Linked DNA regions of Rhinolophus ferrumequinum. The protein of the gene in region 2 purifies or fractionates together with the protein of the main gene of each other region. This does not show direct contact. Links are inferred from orthologs where the notes say so. Each region holds a gene or a part of one and is shown on either strand. Other genes may lie near its edges.

Evidence for each region.
Region 1: the proteins of SMARCA4 (region 2) and SS18 purify together in Homo sapiens (affinity purification with mass spectrometry; 8 studies listed by BioGRID and IntAct, counting the BioPlex papers as one, with this or other methods). This does not show direct contact. The link is inferred for Rhinolophus ferrumequinum from reciprocal best matches to the Homo sapiens genes SMARCA4 and SS18.

Annotation. Positions count from the first base shown.
Region 1 is NC_046302.1:22,093,804-22,103,625, reverse strand, and holds the start of SS18 (protein SSXT), read left to right. Parts: upstream 1-5,798; 5' UTR 5,799-5,884; coding exon 5,885-5,953; intron 5,954-8,568; coding exon 8,569-8,645; intron 8,646-9,822. UniProt on the Homo sapiens protein: Appears to function synergistically with RBM14 as a transcriptional coactivator. Isoform 1 and isoform 2 function in nuclear receptor coactivation. Isoform 1 and isoform 2 function in general transcriptional coactivation.
Region 2 is NC_046301.1:39,449,247-39,459,395, forward strand, and holds the start of SMARCA4 (transcription activator BRG1), read right to left. Parts: upstream 5,890-10,149; 5' UTR 5,744-5,889; intron 5,723-5,743; exon of another isoform or gene 5,548-5,722; intron 1-5,547. UniProt on the Homo sapiens protein: ATPase involved in transcriptional activation and repression of select genes by chromatin remodeling (alteration of DNA-nucleosome topology).

The sequences.
Region 1 (9,822 bases), on a different chromosome or scaffold from region 2:
CCTTTTACGCAACCTACTGTTTTTGAGGTTCATCCATTTGTTTCATAATTAATAGTTTGGTCCTTTTCATTCCTGAGCAGTATTCTATTGTATGAACGTATCATAATTTATTCATTCATCTGTGTTGAATACTTGGGTTGTTTCCAACTATACAATATTTTTATTAAAGGTGGTATGAATGCTCAAGTCTTTGTGTGGGCAATACATTTTCATTTCTTTGAGGTAAAGGGTAAATACCCAAAAGTGCAATTGCTGGGTCATATGATAAGTATATGTTTAACTTTATAATAATCACTAGTTGTTTTCCAGAATGGTTGTGTCATTTTGCACCCCCACTAGCAATGTATGAATGTTCCAGTTGGTCCACATACTCTCCAAAACTTGATGATGTCACTCTTTTTAATTTTAGCCATTTTAGTGGGTGTGTAGTGGTTTCTTGAAGTGGCTTTAATTTGCATTTCTATGATGACTAATGACAGAGAGCAACTTTTCATGTATTTATTGGCCACTGATATATAACCATTGTGAAGTTTCTTTAAATGTTTTGTCCATTTTTGTTAATAGGGTTGTTTATCTTATTGTAAGTGTTCTTTATATTAATGTATTCTGGATATGAGTTGTTTGTTTTCATGTTTCATAAGTTCATATGTTTTCTCCTAGACTATGTCTTCACTTTTCATTTTTTTATAATACCTTTGAAGAGCAGAGTTTTTAATTTTAATGAAATCCAATTTATAAATTTTTCTTTTATGCTTCTTGCTTTTGTGTCATATGTAAGAAACATTTGCTTAACTCAAGGTCATAAAGATTTTCTGTTTTTTTGCAGAAGTTTTACTTTTTACATTTAGGTATATCTATTTTAAATTAACTTTGGTGTATATGTGAGGAAAAAGTCAAAGTTCATTTTTAAAAACATGGATATCTATCTGTTCAAAACAGTCCTTTCTCCATTGAAGTATCTTGGCATCTGTGTTATTATAGTTTCCAATGGCTGCCGTAATACATTACCACAATCTAGGTGGCTTAAAATAAATTTATTTTCTTACAATTCTGGAGGCCACAAGGCTGAAATCATGGTATCTACAGGACTGCACTATAATATAATGCTATTATTTTTCTTTTAAGAAACTGTATAATAAATGTGATTGTTAGGTTAGTTTACTATATATTAGAACAGTAGTTTGAATATTGAATCACTTATCAGTATTTTAGTGCACATTGCCTAATTCAGCCATAAATGTTAGATGGGAAAAAACAATCTTATTAGTTTCCTATTTCTGCTCTAACAAGTTATCACAAATTTTACAGCTTAAAGAAACACATATTATCTTACAGTTCTAGAGGTAGGATGTCCAAAATGGGCCTCACTGTGTTATAATTAAGATTTTAGCAGGTTGGTGTTCCCTCTGGAGGCTCTAGGGGAGAATCTACTTCCTTGTCTTTTCCAGCTTCTAGAAGCCACCCACATTCCTTGTCTCATGACCCCCTTCCATCTTCAAAGCCAGCAATAGCCAGTCAAGTCTTTCTCAAGATACCATAATTCTGATTATGACCCTTCAACTCACTGTTCCTCATTTATGGATATTTGTGATGACTTTGAGCTCACTCAGATGATCCTGGTTAATCCCCATATTTTAAAGTCAGCCAACTAACAGCCTTAATTCTATTTAGAACCTGAATTCCACTTTACCACGTAACCTCTCATATTCACAGATTCTGCAGATTAGGAGGTGGCCATCTTTGTCAGGATGAAATTATTCTGCCTACTGCACCCATTCATAGGAAAATTAGTTAACAATTCATAGGGAAATTAGTATATCATAATCCTCTCTGTAAATTGTGAAGCAGTTCAAGAACAGTTAGTATATTCTTTTGCTAAAGGTAGAGTAGCTACACATCATGCATAAGGTCAGATAACATGCTAAATTGGAAAAAGATCACTTAATCTCTAAATTATAGCCAGAAAATTTCCCAAGGGTAGACTGCACTAGACTGCACTATCAAGAACTTTTGAACATTTCTACTCTTAAAGTATATATTTTTCTCCTTATTAGATTAAGAACAGATCTTATCCTTGTTGAGCAATTTATAATGTGCCACGTATTTTTTTACATATTGTACATGTTAAAATTTGGGACAATCTTTAAGACTCTAATGTAAGATAATCACTTAGCACAGTGGCTGTATATAATAAATGCTAAATAAACAGTAATTAAACACCTTATTATTTCTAATAGCCTTAGGGCAGTTGTTTTTCTGTAAGGCAAATGAAATATAGAAATGGCCTGTCCAGTAGCATTGCATTGGTGGAAGAACTGGGAACTCCAAACCTGTGCATTTCTCAGTGAATTAAGGTTGCATAGAGCTTCACATAGAAACTATTTTTTTTAAAGCAATACCATCCTATAACATTAAACACCAAAATATAATTGATTCAGCTCCTCCTTAATTCAGTCTAAGTTTGATACTGTAAAAAGAGATGAAAACGCACTAAATAGGGTTTGTTATGGTCTACTTTGAATTAAATCTTCTGGAGTATTGAAAAAGTTTTATGGAGAATTGGGAAAGGTGATTTGTTCTTGCCTGGAATAATGAATATATATATTATATAGTCGCCTTATAATTTTGAAATCTGTTAAAGCGCCAACTCAAAATGACTCATCAAATGCCATGGAAAGGGTGAGCAGAAATAGTTTGAATTACCTGAGGAGTTTTGCTCTGAGCCCATTTATGAACAGACAGGCTTGGTCAATGCCTTTCCAAATGTATTCTAAGAATTTATGGCAGCACAGGGGCTTAAAATATCAGCAAATTTGATAGTCCGTGTGCTCTGTTAATTATAAAACAATATTACAGAAATGTTTGTATGAAAGTAATCTCAATTATCTGCACATGCATAATACGTTTTTTGTGGATTAAGATAATTTTTAATGCCATGATTATGTAGTTTCACAAAATATTGAGCGTATTCCTGGAGCACTTCATCAGTTCCATGAAAGGCATTTAAGGAATACAAACAAGTTCATGTAAAACAAATTAAAAATTGAAACATTGAAAATCAAACATGGACAATTTTCCTACTACCTTTTTTGAGTTAAATGTGTCTATATTTATTGGTATGAATAATCAAGATTTGTTCATGCAGATCTTTTATTTAGTCTGAGCCACTGTATATGTTCTTCTATTAGGATTATTCTTAAAAACCGTCACCTCTTCCTTGTGTGACTTCAATTCCTCTGTCAGATGTCTCAATCCAGAACAGCCTAAATAATGGGACTGATGTTTCTGGATGGGGCGATGGTTGCCTGGGTAAGCTCTTTTTTAAGTTCCCGCAGTCATTTCTCAGACTTGGGCCAACCTCCCATCTTTATTCTCCATTTTCTTAACTAAATGCTGGGGTCTCTTTATTTTCCTTTTCGTCCCAACTCTGCTACCACTAAATCTGTACCTTGGGATTCCTTTCTCTTCAAAACTAATGAAGTGAGGCAGGATTTACTAAGTGCCCTTAATTATCTTTTCCTTAACTCAAGGCTCTTACAGTTACAAAGATCTAAGAAAGTTCCTCGAGGCTACAATCTACCCTCTCATTCTCTGAATTTTCTACTTTTCCACATTAAACTGTGTTTACGAAGGAAGCATGAGAGAAAGGTAGTGTCCTATTAAAGTGTCTTCTCTAAGGGAGATGATTTGTATTTCTGGCTGGACCTTTATTCCAATGCTTCCCAACCGATTTCATGTGACAGATACATAGAAAACACATGGTATCACAGAAAAGACTGGTTATGCATGCCTCAAGTCTAGCCTGTCAGTGCCCTAGGTCCTACCCAGCTACTGTGAAGGAATAAGCGCCTTGGGCTGACCTATTACCCATTTTTAGTTGATATCCTTTCCTGTTGTTGGGGAGCTGTAATGTAAACAAAGAAAGTATCTCCTGGGTACCTCCTTGGAATAGAAGTCCCCTTAGCACTTTTTTTTTTTTAACCGAGCTATAGAAATTCAGACTATTCCTACTGGTTCATGTTGCTCTTTAAGATTTCATTGCTATCTGCCAAGCAGATACAACTGGAGCAGTAGGACAATTTGTCATTTTTCCCACTGAAATATTGTTCTTAACTACTTAGGTACTTTTATGTAAATATCAAGATGATGATAAAAGCCAGGTGTTGAACATACAGTGTTTGTGGTGGACGAGACTTAGTTTCTGAGTTCATGAGAAATTTTTCCAACATGAGATTACATTAAATTCAAATATACCAGAGTTGTTTCCCCCCCCCCCCCAGGGCTTAGAGTAGTGAAAGGCAATTAAATTCTTAAGAATAATTACCATTAGTAGAAGTATAAATTCTCTTCCCTTTATTCATAGGATGGCTCGAATTTTTTTCACGTTAGGTCTTTGTTTAAATATAGCAGAAGACTTCCCATCCTAACTCACATTGAGTGTCCCTGTCTGTTCTCAGTTCCTTGTTTGCTAGTCTTTCTTAGAACTTTACATATAGCATATTTGTTTATTTGGTTTTAGTCTGTCAGCCCTACCAGAATATAAGCTCCTTGAGAGCAGCTCCCATATTGAACTTGTCCACAGTTGTATCCTAGGTGCCTAGGATAAAGCCCATAGGTAGAACGCACCCTAATGTGCTGAATGAAACTTATGACCTTTTTGTGGAGAGCATTTATTTGAAACAAAAAACTTTATAAATTTTTTCTTTATTTTTTCAGTTTATATATAAACTGAGGGATTGATTTTGAGCCTCGTTAATTTGGGGTGACATTTTATATAAACTTTTCCTTTGTATTAGGTGGAAATGTAAATTTACAGAATAATTTAAAAAACCTCACACCAACACATAACCCACATTTGCCCATCGTCCTTACATAATTGGAGAGCTTTGTTGTTTTTCTTCCTAACAGAGTTGAAGCCTGGCAGCTTGGACCTAATTTACAAGGCACTAAGTATGTAATTGGAAAAGAGTGAGGGTTCCCTATTTCAAAACTTAATTCGAAAAATCCAAGTCAGACGAACTCGACCCGACGTTTCTAAGGGTTTGTCCCAAGCAGCGAACTCCTCCCCTGGTACGCTAGCCAAGTTGGCCGACTGCCTCTGAGTACTGGACACAGCCCTGTTTCCCGATTTTGAATCAGGCTCGCTTCCAATTGTTAGTGACGACGTGTGCGCGTGCAAGACTGTGGACTCAGAGGTGCGCATTTGGGGCGTAGCCGAGCCGTTTAAACTAGCGAATCCGCGTTCACCTAGTCCTCCACCTCTACCTCATGTCAGCAGATGCTCCAGCGGTTTGCACGGATTCCCGTGTCCTGACCTTCTTCCTCCCCTATCCGGGGTGCCTAGACAACTCGAGGAGGGGTGAGGATAAAGTTGGAAAAATTGAACTAGATCAACAACAGCGCCGAAACGCAGTTTGAGGGACATTTCAGCGCGCCGAGGAGGGAGGCAACTTGCACCCGCGTGAAAGGGGCGGGCCAGTTCGGGCCACTCGCATTTCCTGTGACAGGCGCTGCCCCAGCCTCTCACTCTCCCGTGGCGGCGGGACCATTTCCTGAATCGCAGAAGCGGAGGGAGGGCTGGGGCGCGGTCCTACCATTAGCGCAAAGAGACTGGGGGCCATGAAAGGAAAGGTAGAAGGACGAGAGGTCGATCAAAAACTGAGAAGTTCCATGGGGGCTTAGATTCTCAAATAACATTCGAAAGAGGACGTGTGTGGGCCAGAGTTCCTCCTTTAGGCCAGGCAGGCCTCCTGTTTGTTCGACATTGGAGCATCCCCCCACCCCGCATTCCCGAAGTGGTTCAGCCCGAGAGGCCGGCGTCTTTCCCCCAGTTTGCTGTTCACCGGTGCGCTCGGGACTTGCCGATAGTGGTGACGGCGGCAACATGTCTGTGGCGTTCGCAGCCCCGAGGCAGCGAGGCAAGGGGGAGATCACTCCCGCCGCAATTCAGAAGGTGAAACCTCGCGGGGACGGGGATGCCAGGCCCATCCCGCCTTTGGGAGAGACCCCCGGGGGCCGGGCCGACAGTCGGTCGGGCCGGGGGCGGAGGCGGGCCTGCTGGGAGGCGGCGGTGTGGCAACCCGAGCCACGGGCTGTGCCTGAGTGGGTGGCGGAAGACGGCGAACTGGTTCTCTCACCGAGTCCTTGGCACGTTGGGCCTCTTTCCTACAGGCACAAAAGCCCAAGTAACCGCCGCCGGATTTCTCTAGGGATGGGGCGGCGTTCGGGCTGCGGGGCGCGTGCGCCCGGCGGCGCTGATCGCGCGGGGCAAGGGCTGTTACAGCCGGCGCCCCCCGCGGCCCCGCGCGTCGCTCCGGAGTTACTTTAGCGTCGCCCCGCCCAGCGCTCCGTGGCTGCTTAGTGTAGACCCGATCTCGGGTCGCGGGAGGCCGAGGCGAAGTCGCCGCCCTCCGCGGTGCTGCAAACTCCAGCCGAGTTGCGGAACTCCGAGAACTTGGGGGACGCTACAGGGAGCCTTCATAGAATCAGAAGGGTAGGCGAGGGAGAGCCCTCTGGACTTCAGGGTTAACCTCGGAGTCCCCTTCTCCATTCCGGATTCACCCCACATCCGTTTGCGTCTCCAGCAAATTTCATTGAGCGCCATGTCTAGGCTCTGAGGCTACAGTGGTGAGCCATGGACCCTGCCTTCATGGAGTTTACAGTCTAGTGGTAGAGACAATGATAATTATAACCAATTACGGAAGTCGTGATAAATACACTGGGAGCCGCCTCCCTTTTAGAGAGTAGTACTGTCTCTTGTTGCCGTGTTACTGCCAATTAGGGACACAAAGGTTCTTTATTGTCTTCTACTCTTGTTGCCTTATGAGCAAAGCAGCATTCTAAAATTTACTCAGCCAGACTTTGAAAAGTTACTTGCTAAACTTCGTAGTTTACCTTAAATATTTCGATTTTGTTTTATGCACTGGAGTAGGGATGAAAATTGAAGAAAGGTGAGTTTTTAGTACTAAGGGCAACATCGTATGTATTACTACTACATCCTATGCCCAATAGATTTGTTCATCAGTTTCTGTTTACTGTCAGGTTCTTTGTAGTGTGCCATTTGACGTTGATTTGCCTAACTGACTTTATTTTATGAGCAAACCGGCTTGGCAGTGCTTGGGTGCTGTATTTTCATATAGTGCATTGGGCTAAGTCTGCAGTGTGGCGAACAGCTCCAAGAACACACTCAAAAACTTTTTTTTTTTGGGGGGGGAGGGATTCACTTTTTATTTTTGGACTGTAGGAAATTCCTGAGTTTTTCTTTTTTTCTACAGTTTTTCTTAAGGTATTTCTCATGGGTGATTAATTCAGGAGATGTTGATCAATTAGTTGTCATCTTCAGATGAGAAGGGAAAGTGGATTCCAAATCAAGTGCCTCGTTTTACAGTGTGAGGGATTAATTTTAGATATGAGACATTCTAACGATACAGTTTGTTAGGCTGAGAGATCTACTGAGAAGATACGTTGTGAAATGGTTTGATTGTACTAATGCATTATAAGGACAATTTTTTTTGGCATCTAGTGAGTCTATTTAAGAAATTAACAGTTAATATTTTTTTCCAGCAAGTTAAGATTATGATTCATATGCAGAAAAAAGACACAGTTACTGTTAAATGGATCTTCGTTTTTAATTGAGTTATATTAACTAAATTATTGAGATAGAGTGATTATGGTATTCTACTTCATTCGTTGTTCCTCCTGTACTTGCCCGGAGGGATGGGGCAAGTACAGGGGGAACAGCTACTCCTGTCCCTTGATCTTTCAGATAAATCTGAAATTTTAAGTGGTTTGCATGGGATAGCAAAGGTGGCACTAAAGCTAACTGGCCTTTTAATTGCTATTAATACATGAGTATTCTTTTCTCAATGTCACTTTGCTTAGATGAATTATTTAATCCTTAAAACCAATACTGCTTTAAATTGTAATAACATGATAGAGTGATAAATAGGTATGCTTTTGTTTTTACACTTTTGGGACAACTGAATTATAAGGTAAGTCTGCAATAAATTTATTATACATAAGTAGAAATTATTGTATTTGATTATTTCATGTTTGGAGAATCACAAAACCATACTGTGTAAAACTTGGAAACTGGCCAGCTATCTCCTCAAGCTTCCTGGGCTGAAGTTTTTATGTATTTACTTCATTCTGGCAAGCTTCCTGGGCTGAAGTTTTTATGTATTTACTTCATTCTGGATAAGGACAATTTTCTTTACTACTAAAAAGCATTAGAATGATAGAAAGCTAACTTGGACTCAACAGTTAGTCTTAACAGACTAAAGCTTCTATTACATATATAGCAGGGGTAATTAAGTGTTTGAATACAAAAGAAACTTCAAATTTTTCCTTCAGGGCTGCAGGTAATAACTAAAAGGGAGCATAATTGGAATAGAGTTATCTAAAAATTGTTGATTAAACATGACATTCCAGAGGTGTGAAATAAGATTTAAAAGATCTGAGTGGATTCAGTTTCTGTATAGATAAATATTTCTAGAAATTTGAAGGTCTTTTAAAAATTTTACTTGATAACACTAGATTTACAATAAACTTTTTCCAATTTTATTTCAGATGTTGGATGAAAATAACCATCTTATTCAATGTATAATGGACTATCAGAATAAAGGAAAGACCTCAGAGTGTTCTCAGTAAGATTGATATGAAAATTTTCTTTTAATTTTCATTTTTTGTGTTGAAATTTAAATTTCATTTTGTGTTAACTTTTTAATAGCAGCTTTATTGAGATATAATTCACATACCATACAATTTACCCATTTTAAAGTGTATAATTCAAGTGTTTTAGAATATTGATAAGTTGTACTACCATCATTTCAATCAATTTTAGAACATTTTCGTTATCCCGTCAAGAAACTATATACACATCAGCAGTGACTCCCCATTTCTACCACCTAATTCCTCACCCCTTGACAATCACCAATTTTTCTGTCTGTGTAGATTTGCCTGTTGTGGACATTTCATATAAATAGATTCATACAATATGTGGTCTTTTTTGACTGCTTTGTCTTAGCATATTTTCAAGATTCATCCATGCTGAAACATGTATTAGGACTTTCTTTTTATTGCTGAATCTTCCATTGTATAGCTATGCTACATTTTATTTATTCATCAGTGATGGACATTTGGGTTTGTTTTCATTGGCTATTATGAATAATGCTACTATGAACATTAGTGTACAATTTTTTGTGTGACCTTTCTTGATTTTTACAAAAGAAAATTTTCTTTGGGATGGAGTGGGTATTAATTGTTTTTTATACTTCTTGCATTATAAAATAATGACTTCAAATTTGTGTATAATCTGATTTGTGGAAAAGTTAGATCTTCACATAGATAGGATGTTTAGTTATATCTATGTATGTGATTGAGAAAGCAAAACTCCTATCTAATAAATAGAGAATTGGTCATCATTCATAAGAACTAAACTTGTTAATTTGAAGTAATATGTCTGAAGAAAACAGCATCCCTTAATAGAATCTGATGGAGTGGGACAAGTAGAACATTTTACCAAAAGTCTCTAAAACAGCACCATCCAGTAGAAATACGAGGGGGGCCAAAAACATGTATACACATGATTTGTATTCATCTTTTGTTATCGATATATATTATTACAATCTTAATACAGTTTTTTCCTTTCTTAAAACGTGTATACATTTTTTTGGCACCCTCTCTATATTGCGAGCCACATAGGTAGTTTTACATTTGCTAGTAGACACATTGAACAAGGAAACAGACACAGGAGAAAGTAATTTTAATAATATACTTTAACTCATCATTTCCAAAATAATACCACTTCAATATGTAATCAAA
Region 2 (10,149 bases):
ACCACTGGTTTTCTGCCGAGGCAGTTCACACTCTAATCCAGAAGATAGGGATAGTGTCTATACGGTTAAGAACACGAACACTATCCTATCTATCCACCAGATGGACGCTTTTCAAACTCTTTTGACCATGACCCAGAGTCAGGACATGGCCCAACACAAACACACCTCAGGTAACTGCAACAAGTTTTACAAATCCCTCCTCACCCTGGTCCCCTTAAGGCTGGTCAAACCTAGATGGATGTCATCCCTCACCGCTGGGTATGTTGTGGTGCCTGCTGTGCATACGCACCACTGAGCACGACACGTGGAGAGGGCAGGAGAGCAGGAGCTCAGAAACTGCGAGAGTGGGCAAGAGGGAGCTGGGAGGCATGGCCCCCACACCTGCCGAGTATCACTTGGGACAGGCACTCCCAGCCACCCAAAGACCAACTCTGGGCTGAGCAAGGTTCCAGGCAATGGGCACCTAGCAGAGAACAAAGTCCCTGCCTGGTGGGACTGAGAACTGAGGGACAGAGACAAGCACATACACAAATGTGACATGACATCATGTGGGGGTAGAAGTGCTATGAGAAAATGATCAAGCAGTTTAGTTGATGGAAGGTGCTCTTTCAATCATGGTGGCCAGGAATGGTCTCAGTGATGGGGACATATCTGAGCAGAGACCTGAAGTGAAAGGGGAGTCACATGGCTATCTATGGGTAGAGGGACCAGCGAGTGCAAAGGCCCTGGGGTGGGACCTGGGGGCAAGGGGTGTGTGGCAGATGAGGTCGGAGATGGGAAGGAGAGCAGATCGCAGGCCTTGAAGGCAGTGGTCAGGAAGGAGTCTTACTCCAGGTGCAATGGGAAACCACTGGAATATTCTGGGCAGGGCAGTGGCTCGATCTGATGATGGTTTTAGATTTCTCTGGACAGGCTAATGGAACAGATGTGGGGCATGTGGGGCGAGGGGGGTCAAGGACGAGCAAGGTGACCCTGCAGAAATGGCTTATTCCTGAGACTTGGGGCTGCTCAGCCCTGACGCCAAGCTTGGCAAAGCCCAGCCAGGCTAGATTTCAGCCCCAACTCACATCCCTTTCGTTCAATACTGACAAGTGGGGAGACTACGGGAGTTCAGGATTGTATGGTCAGAGAGGTTAAGTCATTTGCCCCAAATCACACAGGAAGTAGAATCCTGCCTCAAGTATGACTGCAAGGTCTGAGTAACTGATTCAGGCTGAGATCAGAAGGCAGAGAGCCTGGCAGGATGTGGGGTGCAGGCAAAGGGAAGCCCTCCTACAGGCAGGAGCACGTAGGGGGTAATCTGTGGGGATGGGCAAAGGCACTCAGCACACCTGCAGCCCAGGCTGCGATGAGTGGTCACCAGGGCCAGATGCAGCTCGCAGGGTGCAGTGAGTGTCACCATTAGGACCGTGATACTTTACTGGAACACTCCGGGCAAGTCAGGATGGCACACTTCAAACCCTGCCGCCTCAAGTCTCAGACTGTCACAGGTGAAGCAGCAACTGTCATGTGGCCACCTGCTTCCTGAGCCAGTGGGGCTGACCTGCTGGCTAAAGAGGAATTTAAAGCAGCCCAAGGAGACATTTTAAAGGCCACTGCTACTAAAACTGGGGTCCATCCTCCTTGATCACACTCACAGTTGGTGAACTTCACACTGAACAAAACTCACTGTTCTCAGTAAAATGCAAAAATGAAGACGTGCCCCTTCAACAAAGTAAATGAGTCCCGAAGTAAAGCTCTGGAAACAAATCTGGGTGCAAAGGCCAGGAAGGGGCCAGGGCAGGTTTATGTCCTGTTAACACATCCCGTTTTCTAAAGAAAGCCCCTGCCCTGAGATAACTGGAGGGAAACCCATGCATCCCCTCCCTTCCTCTGCCTTGTGAAATCTAATCCCCCCACAAACCCAGCTCCACCTGGCGCTTCCCTCCAGGCCCTTTCCCACATAGGAAGATGAGCAGAGGCCAAATTTCCCATGTCTGTCAATTCCATATCCTGAAAAATTAGTAACAGCAGCGTGCAACTAGAGAACTCCAACTAAGGTATCACTGAGCATATTAATGAGCCTACTACTTCTTCGGGGTGACAGCTATAAGGTTGACAGCAACAGCAGCTCCATTGGCCTCAGACCCAATTCTGACATGTTGCTCCTCTGACATTTCCCCCCATATTCCTGCAGCTGTTACTTCCTTTTCATAGGTTTTCCACACCCCTTTTATTCTAATATTTTTTTAAAAACTTTGATTCGCTCTGAAGTGTTCCAATCAATGTTACAAGTTATGAGAAAATACGTGAACAATGAACATTTGATATCTTTCAAAAGCCATGCCACCAAACACACTTCCCTCTTTCTAGTGCCTTATGGTGAAACTGCAAAGCATACAAACTTTTAAGTATTAAGGACAAAATGAAGGAGTTGATGCCTTCGTTAACACCTTGAAAACATATGGAACTACTGCAAAGGGACAAAAATATATTCTGTACCCACCAAGGTATTGTAGGAATCTTCATAAATGACAACAGCTACCAATATGTGTCAGACACCTTTCTAAGCACTCTACATTTGTCATTTTGCTGTTGAGTCTGTAGCAATCCCCCGAGTTGGGTACTATTACTGCCCCCCTTTGCAAATAAGGAGATGGATCTGAGCGAAGCAGAACAGGGCCCCTGTGTGCCTGCTGCCGATGGAATCGCCAGCCCTAGCAGTGCCTGGCTCGTGGCAGGCACTCGGTGCACGTCTGTTCACTGTATGAATGGGACATGAGTGCTTAGGCCACTCTTGCACAACTCCATTCACAGTGTGTTCTATCTGTGGTCGGTGTGAATGGGTCCCTCTTGGACCAAGTCTTGCACAACTCCAGGAGGCACCTTTCACATTGTGTTTGGTCTACCGTCAATGTGAATAGGTCCCCTGTGCCATGGCAGCCCTGATGACCGAGGCCAAAATCAGCTGGCAAATCTGAGGACTTACTATGTGCCAGTAAGCTACTGTCAACCCCATTTCTCTGAGGCACCAAGAAAAAAAGTAGCAAAGCCTGGAGTCAAAACCAGGACGGCTGACTGGAGAGCCCCAGGTGAAGAAATAGCCCTGGATGTCAGTTTCTTCATTAGCAGAATGTTTTCACCAGCCATTCACCCAAAATACGGAGTTCCTCCCACCCTCTCACATGTGCTCTAGGGTTACCTCCCAGGGTTTTGAGGGTCCACAAGGAGTGGCAAAGGTATGTAAATAAAAATGTGTTTATGTGGGATGCTTTGCACAGACAGAAAAAACTTTGGAGACCACGGCACTGATGTCACCCACCCCCACCGGACTCAAACCCTGGAAGATCAATGTCTCCAGAAGAGTGAGACACAAAATGATTTTAGAGGGCACGAGGACAAACATTTGTTATTTTCACAATTATGTATGCATTGATTGTAAGGCAAATTAGTAAAATACATATAACTAGCTCACCATATGCCGGGTGCTGCAGTGTGTTAAGCAGCTTCAAACCGTGTTTCCCCGAAAATAAGACCTAGCCGGACAGTCAGCGCTAATGCGCCTTGTGGAGCAAAAATTAATATAAGACCCGGTCTTATTTTACTATAAGACCGGGTCTAATATAATATATACCGGGTCTTATATTAATTGTTGCTCCACAAGGCGCATTAGCGCTGACTGTCCGGCTAGGTCTTATTTTCGGGGAAACACGGTATGTTACCTCATTCAATCCTCACAACCACCGTTTGAGGTGGCATCACTGTCATGCCTGTTTCACAAGTTGGGGGGGACCCACTGATAAGTACCTTGCTCAAGGTCAAGCTAAGATTTAGAATCCAGGAGGTCTGATTCCAGAACAGCACTCCTCACCACCATTCCACACTAACTACCAACCCACACCCTCCTTCTGGGGGAATGAGGTTTGGGAAACAATAGCCTAGAAAGTTAAAAACCAACAACAACTAAAATGTTTCCTGCTTACAACCCACCACTAATCAGTCCTGTACCAAGCATTTCACGCACATGTTCACTCAATCCTCCCAAGGGCCCTTCACTCATTGCACAAACGTTTTGCTAAGGGCCTACCATGTGCCAGGCCCAAAGAACACTGCGGGAGACAGCACCCTACTCTGATGGCCCTCAGAGAAGACTGGATGTGGAATTACAACCCGGAGTGAACGTCTACACAGGAAAGGACCAAGGCAACGTGCGAGTGTAGCAGAGGGAACAATGACTATTACAGGGCAGTCAAAAGCCAAGCCTGGACATCCTCCCTGACTCGAGTAGAGGCCCCCTCTTCCAGGCAGCCTCCTTGATCTCAGGCTCCAGCTACTCCCCTGGGTATCCACTGTGTTCCTTTCACAGTAAGAGTTGTGAGGATTAAATGAAAGGCCAAGGGGAGTAGTTCCCACATTTACCACCTGTTCTCCTACAAGACTGGAGAGGCTCCTCAGGGCATCCAACCACCAACCATCTGACACCCAGTTAGGGACTCAATGGATATTTGCTGAACAATGAAGAAGGAGATTGAACCAGACAGTAACAACAGGGCTTCTCACTTCCCAGGAACCATTTTTCAGGTTTTCACCAGCTCCATTTGTGACATTATTCCCATTTCACAAAGGAGGAATCTAAGAGGTACAGAGATTAAACTATTTGCCTAAAGTCACACAGCTAAGTGACTGACAGCGCCAGCAATGAAACCCTAATTCCGTCTGTCAATTCAAACTGAAAACTTGTTTCAAATTCCTGGGAAGTGGCTCTTACACTTATTTATTCCCTACTTTTCCAAGGATTCACTGGGAGAAAAAAATAAAAATCAAGACTGGTGTCTTCAAGACCGTCAAAACACTCTCTTAAAGGACCATGTTTTAAATAAAAGCCTTCATCTGGAAAATCAATTGGGAGGAAGGGAAAAGGATGCAAAACAAATACAATGCTTTCAACAGCAAACAGTGCCGGTCCTCCTCCACTTGCTGTCGACCACTCAGGGCAAACATTTTGAAGTCACTACTTGCAAGGGATGGGCCAAGTCATTTACCTTTCCTTGAAAACCTAGAATAAGTGATTTTTAAAATAAAATCTTAGGTCGGCTAACCCAGGGGTGCTGCCAGGAGGCACTGGACACATCTGGGTTTTTTCTTACGGAGCCTCGATCACAGCCTCCCTAAAGGGCAATATTCGGTTCGGACCTTTTACAACATAGCCAGAAAATCCCCGAAGCCCGGCTATTGTTGCAGCCGCCGCAGAGACCCCTGGCCCGCCAAGGGGGCAGCAAGCTTTGTCCCGCGACCCTGGCGAGAGCGCGCGCGGGGGTCGCGCGGCCTCCACGCGGCCCGGGCCCCCACCCCACCCGCCCGCGCGGATGCTACAGCCGCCGCGGCCTCGCTACACTGTGGCTTTCCCCGCGCGCGCGGTGCCGGACGGGCTTCTTGACCCTCGGGCGCCGCCGTACCCCAGCCCTGCTCTGGGCGCCAGTGGCCCCCTCCCCCCTCGGCCCCCCGGCTCCATTCAAACCACCCTCCCAAGCCCCGCGCGGCGCTCCCCCCGCGGCCCGCGTTCCTTACCGGGAGCCGCCGGCACCGCCGCCTTCCCGGCACCGCCCCCGACCCTCCGAGCGGGGCCGGAGGCAGAGTAAGCTTCTCGCCTCTCCTCACGAAACAAAGAAGCCGCCGCCGCCACCGAGCGAGAGTAAGCCTCGTGCGCGCGCCCGCCTCGGCCGCCCCCCCACGCCTCCCGCGTCCCCGCTGCGCGCGCACTCACCGGCTTCCTCCCCCCCACGGACGGCCTCTCTCGCTTCCGCCGCCCGCCCGGCCTCGTGCGCGCGCCCGCCCGCCCTTCCGCTTCCAGCGCGCGTGCGCGTGGGACGAGGGCTAGGGGAGGTGGGCCGGACCAGAGAGAGCGTACGCGCCCGACGCACCTCCCACCGATTTCCAGGAAGGTCCTGCGCTTGCGCACAGGCGTCTTCTTCTTCCGCACGTCGCGCGTCCCGACGCCGCCGAGCGTGCGCAGAGCGGGCGCCACTGCGGCGGTGGTGGCGGCGGCGACGGCACGTTGGGGGATGGGACGGGGAGGCGGTGGCGTCTGCAGGGAAGGGATGGCCGAGTGGTCGTGATAGTCGGAATGAGGACCTGAGGCCCTGTGCGTGAAGCTGGACTGAGGTTGAGCAAAGTCGGCCAAGCGCGGGCCTGAGAATCGCTTTCATCCCTGGTAGGGGGATGGCGGGGCCTGTTGCGAAGCCAGGTGGGCCCCCACCATACCTGTCTTTTCTGCCTACCTAGTTCTATTAATTAGTTTAGCAAATATTTATTAACCTGCTCCTGTGTCCCAGGCGCAAGTGCAGCGGCACAGAACAGACAAAAATCTCAGACCGCTGTGGTGCTCACGGTCTAGTAAGGGAGGCAAGTGAGAGACAAGAGAAATAAGTAAAATACGTTGTGTTGAGACAGAGACATCTTGGGTCGTGAACATTTTAAATGGGACAGCCAGGGAAGGGCCCGATGCGAAGAAGACATTTGAGTCGACATCAAAGCAGTGAGAGAGCCTTGTTCCTAGTGTGAAGGCCCAGAACTCTAGGCGGCCTCTTCTGTGTTCTGAAAGTATCTCCAGTGCCACCTCATTTAGTCCCCCAACTGGACAAACGCTCCCCAAGGTCAGGTTCCACAGCCCGTGACTCTCCCCACCTTGCCTCTTTATCCTGCTCTTCATTTTTTAGGTGTCAGCTGATTCACCAACTCAAGCCTCGCCTCCTTTTTGACCACTGACTCCTTTTCCCTTCACATTTCTTGGGTACCCTCTTTTCTGCTGTCTGTCTCCCTTCCCTCAATTTAAATGACAAAGAAGTTAATTTTAGTCATTAGTGAATACCCAGCATCGCTAGCATGCTTTGTAGCGTAGAGTAGAAGAGGAGATCGCACACTGGAATCAGAAAGACCTGGATTTAAAACCTGACTCTATGTTAGTAGCTGGTGGGTGCCAGGCAAGTTTATTGGACTCATGTACACTACCCTTTCTTCACCTGTAAAATGGAAATAATAATGGCGCCCATCTCCACAGGCTGGTTATGAGGAGTCCATATGCAGGTCACCTTGGAGTTCCCTAAACCTTACCTCGTAATGTTGAGTAATACACAGTAAATGGGCAAGTGGGGTCTCCACATCGATCTTTAAGTAATATTTTTAAGCACCCTCAACATGCTAAGCACTGAGCTGATCGGGCCTGCAGTGATCACACTGGAAAGGCAGGGCTCCTGCCCATGGAGCGGACAGTCAATGAGTTCAGTTGACAGTCTCCCATACTGATCACACTAATACGTGATAGAAAACTCGAAATGCAACGGAAGAAAAGCCTAGGGTGTGATGAGGTCATGACATGGGATCTTCCTGGGATGGAGAAGTCAGGTAGACTTCTCTGAGGGAGAGGTACGTATGTCAAAATCCAAAGGATGAGCAAGAGCAAAGAGGAGGATGACACTAGAGAGGAAACAGGATGTGCCAAAGCCCTGAGGAGGAAAAGAGTGTGGGAACAGAAAAAGGCCCAAGGGGGCTTGAGGGGGAGGTGAGTAGCAGCCATACCAGATAGGGCCTTGTGGGCTTTGGTGAGCATCTTCAGCTTTTTCTGGAGCACAGTGGGAAGCAGTTGAAGGGCTTTAATCAGGAGAACCCCATGGCTGTTCTGGCTGCTGGGTGGAGACTTGGCCAGCAGGTAAGGAGAGGAAGTGGGGAGTCCCTTTAGGCCATAGCAGTGGCCCAGAGTAGAGAAAGTGGTGGCTTGCACTAGTGTGAAGGTGGAAGAGGTACAGAGAGTTGGAGGAAGAATAGATAGAAATTGGAAGAGTGGAAGGAGGAAGAGATAAAGGAGGGTCAAGAGTGAATTCCCAGCTTTCTCTGCAACTGGGATGATGGGGACATGGAAACTCTGGCAAGAAAGGGTCAGGAGTCCTGTTTGAAGGATACGATATCTGTTGGGAACAATCCTGTATACCAGTGGTTCATGACTGTACATTGGAATCCGGGTTAAGCAAAATGGATGTCTTGTGTGTGTGTGTGTGTGTGTGTGTGTGTGTGTGTGTGTGTACAACATATATATATGTGTGTGTGTGTGTGTGTGTGTGTGTGATTTTATTGGAGAAGGGAAACAGGACTTTATTGGGGAACAGTGTGTATTTCCAGGACTTTTTATTGGGGAACAGTAGTGTTTTTCCCAGGACTCATCAGCTCCATCCAAGTCAAGTTGTCCTTTCAGTCTTAGTTGTGGAGGGCACAGCTCATCTCCAGGTCCAGTTGCCATTGTTAGTTGCAGGGGGCGCAGCCCACCATCCCTTGTGGATGTTGAACCAGCAACCACAGAGCCCGCGCTCCAACCAACTGAGCCATCTGGGAGCTTGGGGGCAGCTCAGCTCAAGGTGCCGTGTTCAATCTTAGTTGCAGGGGGCGCAGCCCACGATCCCTTGGAGGGAGTCGAGGAGGAGTCGAACCGACAACCTTGTGGTTGAGAGCCCACGCACCAACCAGCTGAGCCATCTGGCCACCCGGGAGCTGAGCAGCAGCTCATTTACTTCATTCTAGTTGGAAGCGCAGCTCACTGGCTCATGTGTGAATTGAATCGGCAGCCCCGTTGCCCAGAGCTCGTGATCTAACCAACTGAGCCACCCGTCTGCCCCATACTGGCCTTTTAATAATGACCTGTCCCAGGATTCAGACCTTCGTCCTCTCTCTACATTCACCCCTTTGGCTTCCAGTCTTGTGACATGAAAAAACTATCTACTTCCTTGGTAGTATCTACCCAAAGGAATTGAAAACATGTACTCATGTACTCAGATACTCGTAAACAAATGTTTATTGCTACTACACTATTCACAATAGCTGAGATGGAAACAGGAAACAATTTAAATGTTCCTCAACAAATAAATGGATAAACAAGTTGTGTTATATATTCAATGGAATATTTAGCCATAAAAAGTAATGTAGTCCTAAAACATACTACAATGTGGATGAACCTTAAAACATGCTAAGCGAAAGAAGTCAGACACAAAGGGCCACACAGTGTATGAATCTATTTCAAATGTTTAGAATAGGCAAATCTATGGAGACAGCAGATTGCCAGGGGCGGAGTGTAGTAGAGGGCGTAACTGCTTAGTGGATAAAGGGTTTTATTTTGGGACAATGAAAATATTTTGGAACTAGATAGAGGTGGTGCTTACACAATATTGTGAATGTACTAAATGCTACAAAATCGTTCAGTTTAAAATATTCAGTTTTGTTACATGAATCTTTTAGAAAAGTGTCTACATGCTAATGATTTCCAAATGTTTATTTCCTGCCTCGACCTCACCCTCGAGCTCCAGAAAATGACCTCTCAGACACCACCACTTGAGTATTATATAGGAGCTAAAATTTCAGTTCCATCATGTCCCTCTTTTGCTCAAAATCCCCCAATGGCTCCCATCTTTCCAAGAATAAAAGGCAAAGACCATCAAGAGAAAGAGAAGGCAAACCACAGGCTGGGAGAGAGCGAATGAGAAGACACGTGAAAAAGAACTGTTACCAAATACACAAAGAACTCTTAAAACTCCACAATAAGAAAATGAACCCAATTTAAAGATGGACAAACCTGAACAGACACCTCACCAAAGATGATACAAAGATGGCAAATAAGCATATGAAGAGGTGTTGAACATCCTGTGTCATTAGGGAATTGCAAATTAAAGCAACAGTGAGATACCACTGCACACCTATCAGAATGGGAGAAATCCAAGACTCTTGAAACACCAAATGCTGGAGAGGATGTGGAGGAACTCTTAGTCGTTCCTCGTGGGAGTGCAAAATGGTTCAGCCACTTTGGAAGATAGCTTGGCAGTTTCTTACAAAACTAAACATACTCTTACCATGTGACCCAGCAATCATGCACCTTGGTGCTTCCCCAAAGGAGCTGAAAACAGATGTCCACACCAAAACCTGCAAATGGATGTTTATAGCAGCTTCAATTACAATTGCCCAAACTTGGAAATGATCAAGAAATCCTTCAGAAGGTGAATGGATAAACTGTGGTACATCCAGACAATGGAATATTATTCAGCACTAAAAAAGAAACGAGCTATCAAGTCATAAAAACTTGGAGGAACCTTAAATACATATTACTAAGTGAAAGAAAGCAATCTGGGCAGGTTT